Drosophila melanogaster: one gene and its partner. The protein of the gene in region 1 interacts with the protein of each later gene in a pairwise test. Each region holds a gene or a part of one and is shown on either strand. Other genes may lie near its edges. The genes, in order: tpr and CG13962.

Region 1 (4,258 bases):
ATCGGACCGTGATCAAACGATGGTAGAAGCCATTTACACAATGGGCAGCGGTTAAGGCATACTGATCGTTAACCAAAGAAGCGCCGCAATAGAAATTACCGAACCACATGAGCATTATCATCCAGGGATACTCATGGACCTCCGTCTCCTGACCTCCGACGATGCGATGACGAGTATTGATATTACCACAGGAGCACTCTGCGCACTCCCTTTTGGCCGGAGAGCTCCATTCGGCTGGCACCTCGGGTCCCAGGATCGATTGAATCCAGTCCAGAAAGCTACTCTGCCTTAGTTGAGCTAGATTGTTTAAGATCTTCTCAGGATCGGAGGCGGAACGCAGAGAGGGCGTGGCACAAGCCAAATCGCCCAGTGCTGTGGCAAGAATCAGCAGAAGATGAAAATTACACATGGTGTACTAACCTGGCCAACTGGCAATTGGCAACTAACCAAATGGATCCTGGCCACATCCAGCAAGAAGACTGATGAGAACCAGAAGTGCTAGCCAAGCCAAAGAACTGGCTAGACCAGAATCACCAAAGGAAACCGGCTCCCGAGAAAGGTTAGCGCACTTTATGGAAACTTTTCTTTTAATCAATAAATATAAAACAGCTTGAAAATGGGATCTTCGACGAAGCCGAAGTTGACTTACTCTTGCAAGGGTGGCAAAAAGTTTTGGAGCATATATCCCAAGAAATTGCATAGTTATTTTCGGCGAAAATAGTTCGTTTCTTGGCATATGAGATTAGTGATTTTGGAAATAACAAGCTTTTTGTAATGAAAACTTGTCTTTCACATTGGATGGAAGATACAAATTCTGATATAATATTAAACATTGCCAGCCAAGCAAGAGTATTGAACTATTAATAGATACAGAAATAGCCAGATGTTCGCTACTTGATCTTCTTGGTCTCCTGCTGGCAGAGGCAAGCCTGTTTGGTGAGGTTCTTGATCCAGGTTCCGTAGCGATTCACTCTGGCATAGACGCCAGGATAACCGGCCTTGGCACAGCCCTCGCCCCACGAGACAACGCCGGCGATCTGATGCTCTCGCGTTCCGCTGGCCACGATGTGCAAAGGACCTCCACTGTCGCCCTGGCACGAGTCCTTGCCACCCTCGTCGTATCCGCCACACAGCATGTTATCCGTGATCTTGTTGCCATAGCGACTCTTGCGACATTCGTCCTGCGATAGAATTGGCACTTGAACCTCCTGCAGAAAATAATATTCAGATATATTTATATTGCATTTTATACTCCAATCTTAAATTGGCTAACCTGAAGAGTATCGGAAGTGGGTCCACCAACTTTGAGCGCTCCCCAGCCAGTGACAATGCCATTCTCGCCCTTGAAACTTCTGCCCGGCGTTGGCATACAAACGGGATGGAGCACCTCGTTGAACTCCACCGGCTCATCCAACTTGATGATGGCTATATCGTTGTCATAGTTCCGGGCATTATACTTGGGATGCGTGATCACCTCGGCCACCTTGCGGTCGATCTTTTGCATGTGCGACATCTTGCGGTCATGTTCGAGTAATCTCACCGATATTCTTTCCTTTCGAAAGCCATAGACGCAATGCGATGCGGTCAACAGGAATTGATCGTTGAGCAAGGAGGCGGCGCAATAGAACCTTCCGCCATATAGCAACATAGCCACCCAGGGATACTGATGAACCTCCGTTTCCTGACCACCGACTATTCTCTTCTGTATATTGGCTATTCCGCAGACACAGTCGCTGCAATTCCTTGGCGGATTCAAAGTGGGTGGGGCCGGAGTGGTTGCCCTTCTCGTTGTAGTGGTGCTGGAAGACGGGGCTGGTGTGGTGGTTGATGTGGTAGATGCCGCGTCCGGCATCATAGAGCTGCTGCTCAAGGTGGCCAGAGTGGCATTTTCCGAATCCGAACTGCCGGGACGTTGGGGCAAAAGTGAGAGAACCCATTGGATAAATGTGTTCTGAGATTGTTTCAGCAGCGGACTCGCTGCCGTTTGGTTCGTTGCACGATCCTGGCTGGCTGATTGGCTTGGACCGCAGCTTAAGGCCAGGCAGATCAGCAGACACAACCAGGCTCGATTCATTTCTCTAGACTTTTTCCGGCTTTCTCCACAGCGACACCACCGATTCACTCGCGTGGCTCTCGGCGAACTGATCGCCCAGCCGCTTGGCCAGCATTTGAAAGCGGCATTTCACCCAAAAAAAAGTGGTTCTGGCCGGTGGCACGTCCACTTTGCCAATCCAATCCGCACAGAGAGAAACATAGGTATACTCTATAAATTTATTTTAGCCAATATTGAAGCGTTCTAGATATTATAAACGACTAAAGAATATAAAAGAGATTCTTATGAGAGCGATACCAATATCTAGCGTAATAATGTACAGTATTATTAAACATATATCAATGGTATTGGCTGTACACTTGTATGTACATTTTTCAGTTATTTTATAAAAAAATATATACTTTCCAAACTTGGTGAGAATTTCTCGCGGTGCATTCTCGCACTCCCCTTAAATTTGCATTTGTATTCTGCGCATGCGTGGGTGCCTCAGGGCATCCACACTATCCACCGCTTGACCATGATACTTCACTCGGTTGGCTGGCAAGTAAAACTCAACAGAATCGAAGCCACTCATCCACTAAAGTGGGCTTTTGTTGTAATTTGCGCCACTGAAGTAGCGAAAGTTTTTTTCTCGCTTCAAACTTATTGAAATGAATTTTTTTTTTTGCTTCTTTTCCGTCCAATCGATTGCTCGGCGACGCATCGTAATTTTACTTTCTTTTGATTTATATTATTGGGGCTACTTCTCGGCGATTTTGTGGGTCGGCTGGTACAGTGTTTGTGTGTCGACAGCTATAACAGCTGACAATAAAAAAAAAAAAAAAAACAGCAACAATGCCACTGACAACAATAAATTTGTGGCACTGTTTACATTTACATCGTTTACGTGGTTGGCTTTGCCAATTTGGCCGACTCATGGGGCTTGGGGCGTTTTAAAAACAGGCAGATATGTGGGTTAAGAACTGTGATCTTACGTAGAGGAATTCCAAATGGATTCAAGTCTTATTCAGTAGTTTAAATATATTGTTTTCTTTGTTAGATTTAAAAAATTACATTTTCCTTTAGCAAACCCTGTTGAGTTGAGTTCCAACATTAATTACCCTTTTAGCTTCCCAAGGAGAAGAGCAATCGTCATAAAAGCAAAAATAAACTCCCACAAGACATGAAACCGTCAGGCTGGACTTTCCTCCCAGCAGAGATTAACGATGCAGCCGACTTGTGGCATCCGCACGTGTCCACTCCAGTCGTGAGTCATATTGGTCATGGGCTTAAGTAGCCCCATTCCACTGGATCATTAAAAGCAACTTGTAGGGCTATGGAGGCGGCGCCGTTGCGCCTGCGCCACTTGGATGACCGGCCATTGATGGATGGATGGTCGAGGAGGGTCTGCCCTGAAAGGAGGGGCGGAATCGGAGGAGGTCTCCCCGAGGAGTCGCCGGTTGGAGCAGTCATTAGTATGCGCACACATAACACTTGGCATATTAATTGTCCGCGTAATGTTGGAGGCAGATGCAGTTCGAGTGGAGCTACATGGAGTTGCAGTTGCGAATGGATGGTTGGGGCATGGGCTTGTGGATGATGATGATGACGAACTAATGTCAGTTCAGCGGACACTGCGCACTAGAGATGCAAATCTCAACTTTTCGGAAATAAAATTAGTATCTCAGTTTGGGTACTTAAGAGTATATATCACAAAATGTTATAAAGGCAAATAATGGTAACATAATATAATGACGGCAACATAATAACGATATTCACCATTGTTTGGAAAATTCGCTATGGTATGCTGAACTTGATGAAATATGCCAATTTAGCGCGTGGTTTTAATTGAATTCCTGGTGATTTTTCACTTTTATTTTAATAGATCGTTAGCATCACTGGTGGGCAGCCATCAAAGGCATAGTCGGTTGCATTGCCCAACCGCAGTGCACGCAGTTAAAACAAAGTGCCATTTGCATAATGCCCCGGCTAGACAAAACCGAATGAAAAATACGGGGGGAAAAAAACGGCCGAACAAGTTGCATGTGTGAGCACATCTATATGTTAAATGGGAGTGGGGTTATTTACGATCCCGAGGAAGGGACCTGCACTTGGCGACGCAATTATGCAAGGCCCACTCTCCGGTAAACGTGACCACCAACAGAGTGACTCTGGGACTGATTGCCGGGAAAGCCTGTCCCTCCACCAAAGACCTGGCTCTGGCAG
Region 2 (3,192 bases), on another chromosome or scaffold:
TGCCTCTTCGCATCGATTCTATTCCTTTTGGGCGGAGGCAAGCTAGCTAGCTAGCTGGTTTTGTCTGTCGAAAATTGTTTAGCCTTCGTCTTCTTCGTCGCGTTGTCAAGTGATTTGGAAAATTGAATTGATCAATCGCTTTGTCAATTCTGTTACCTATTACTGATTGGCGAGTTTATAGTGTTTGGCTGAATTGGTTGTTCCTAATTATACCTGTTACTCGTAGAGTATACTAGATTCGTTGAAAAGTATGTAACAGACAGAAGGAGGCGTTTCCGACCATATAAATATAAATATATATTCTTGATCAGGATCAAGAGCCGAGTCGATCTGCTTGTAAGATTGTACCTATAACCATATTGTAACTCTAAAGGCTAAAAGGTTGAGATTCAGAGTACAGATTCTAGAGATTCATGTTGCCACGCCGCACAACCGCACAAAACTATCACGCCCACACTTTTGAAAAATGTTTTGATATTTTTTTTAGTCTTGTAAATTTCTATCGATAATTTAATACATTAGGAAGTAGGATCTCGATCCATAAGAAATGAACATTGATTTTGCCATGAATTAACATTTATTTCCAAGTCTTCAAAGTCCATGAAAATATGAGTATTTACTACTAAAAATACACTCAATGTTGGATTAAATCTAAAATTATTCCAAACATCTCTTATCAGTGAATAATGCGAATTATCTCTTATATGAATTATGCAGATAATATTTTAAATAAAAATAATCTCTCTTTCGTTGCCAACCATGACAACAAATTGTGATAACAATATAATGTCATATTAATCCACTTCTAATTTTCATTCCATGTTGTGTAAATCGTTTTATTGACTTAAGCTTAGTACCTATCCTTGAAGCTCATGACTTTCATAAAGAGAGCTTCGTGCTGCTGTATATCAGTGGAAGCGATGTATTTGTCGATCGCCTCGAGGAGCTCACTTTCCCGAGCTATTGTGGTCGGAGACAACATGGCTTTCATTTGGGTGGCACCTTCGACAAACTTATTGTGGAGTTTCTCATTCTCATTGGCGAATTCAGTGCTAACGCCCAGTAAACCCAGCAGGCTCATTCCAATCACCTGGGATTCAGGTGCCGATTGACTCAGCTCGCTGTTGAGTCCCTCGAATACCTGTTGCAGTTCGTAGATATAGTTATATTTCTCGCCAGTTGTGCCTCGCTGTTTGAGACTCTTGCCCTTGTTGGCATAGGCCTGGAGGGCAGCCGTTCCCGGTCCACGTTGTTCAAGCGGAACTGTGTCCACAACTTGTTGCACGAATTTGATGGTGAGTGACATCATATTATGGATTTGAATGCCACGGAGGGTGTCAGCATAGTCAAAGAAATGAGCTAACATCTCGTTTTGCGATTTCGCAGGAGCAGCACACGAAAGGCTCTATGGAATATCCGTTGGGTTAAGACAATGAGATCCGACTTTTTCAATTTTTTTACTTACTACAGCAGCTATGGCAAATACTATAAGCATACAACGCATCTTCAGCAAGTGATTTAATTCGACTCAAATAATTTTGAGCAGAGATAGGCTTTTTATACACATGTCGTTATCAGTGAGTCGTTGATTTCTTTTATGAATTACTGTGTTTTTAAGCTGGCTCACGAGATAAAGTAAATGCGATTAGGAACTAGAAAGGAATATTGAATATATTGTATTGAACTTTTGCTATAAAGTCTGGAGAGATATTCCCACGGAATAGTGCAGAAAAGGGTCTGGCTACTCATTGTATTAAGATACAAATGATTTAATTATTAATGACAATTACTTTCGAATACATTCAATATAAACGCAGATGTGTATTCACGGTCAACGTGAAGAAAGGTGGCTGATGGAGTGTATAAGAAGGTGGTTATGTTTATTGTTAGCTTGAATACCAAACGAGACCATCATTGCAAGGAATATGGATATGGACGTGACAAAGTATTTGACTTATGATAGTTGGCTCGTAAAATCTTACTTGGAAACCCACTAGCCGATTGACCAGAGATTGCTCCCTCTGATTACTATTTTTCCTCACGATGGCTCATGGGCTGGCAGACTTCTTCGTTTATGATGTAGTCAAAAATGGATCGGTTCATGGATAGCAGAATCCGGGATTCGACAGGAAGATAACAAAAAGTAGTGGCTAGCGAAAAAGAAAATACTTTTAATGATTTAAATGTATAAAAAACTATTGGGTCCAGTCCATAGACTATCAGATTCCATTTTAACCAATTCAGGCAACTATAAAATTAAAAATCAATCAGTAATAGGTAACAGAATTGACAAAGCGATTGATCAATTCAATTTTCCAAATCACTTGACAACGCGACGAAGAAGACGAAGGCTAAACAATTTTCGACAGACAAAACCAGCTAGCTAGCTAGCTTGCCTCCGCCCAAAAGGAATAGAATCGATGCGAAGAGGCAAGGCAAAGGACACTTTCGCAATGTCAGCAGGAAACTACAATCCTACCATTCGAATTTGCATGTAAAAGGGCGAGATTGTTTTAAACGTCAAGCGTGTAAGACTTTTCCCAATAAAGAAGGTTGTAAAGAGAGCATTCTTCACTAATGTTTATAATTAAATATTTATTATTCAGTTGGGCCGAAATCCCGGCGGTACTGCAATACCGGGCCAACCCGTGACAGAGGTGGAGCAAGCCCCTAGCACTCCGTCTGATTCCAAAAATCAGTTTAACATTTGTTGTCCTCCAATGGAGGAACTATCAGATGTTAAGCTGATAAGAACAGATACTACACTTTGATCTTAGCCATAAGGCCGAGAAGCGATAACTACTCCTTCCCAGGACAAAGGACTTCATGCGACTGCAGCTAAAATCAGTTGGGAATTACTTTACTTGCAGACTTCAGAATCGAATATAGTTATTGCATATTTCAGGGAGGGTTTTTACTCACATAGCAAAGGTCCTTGGATAATCTGGTGAGATAACATTCAGGTATAAATATACACATGTCAGTAATTAGGATAAGTAAATGGGTATTATTCTGTTATTAAATGAAATAAAGTGTCGCTACCAATATAAACATGCCTAATATAAACATGGCGACCACGTTAATACGGACAAACGGATGGAAGGACTTGGCCAGACACGGCTAGTTATTTTGTATCAAGAATATATTTATATTTATAGGGTCGGAAAGGTCTTCCTCTACCTGGTAAATAAT

Evidence for each region.
Region 2: the proteins of tpr (region 1) and CG13962 interact in a two-hybrid assay, tested with the Drosophila melanogaster proteins (one large-scale study listed by BioGRID).

The regions. Positions count from the first base shown.
Region 1 is NT_033778.4:21,798,758-21,803,015, forward strand, and holds tpr (tracheal-prostasin), read right to left. Parts: upstream 2,148-4,258; 5' UTR 2,075-2,147; coding exon 1,274-2,074; intron 1,209-1,273; coding exon 891-1,208; 3' UTR 573-890; downstream 1-572. Other genes in the region: CG18735 (uncharacterized protein), read right to left, coding at 1-409.
Region 2 is NT_033779.5:19,813,009-19,816,200, forward strand, and holds CG13962 (uncharacterized protein), read right to left. Parts: upstream 1,525-3,192; 5' UTR 1,466-1,524; intron 1,406-1,465; 5' UTR 1,310-1,405; coding exon 851-1,309; 3' UTR 696-850; downstream 1-695.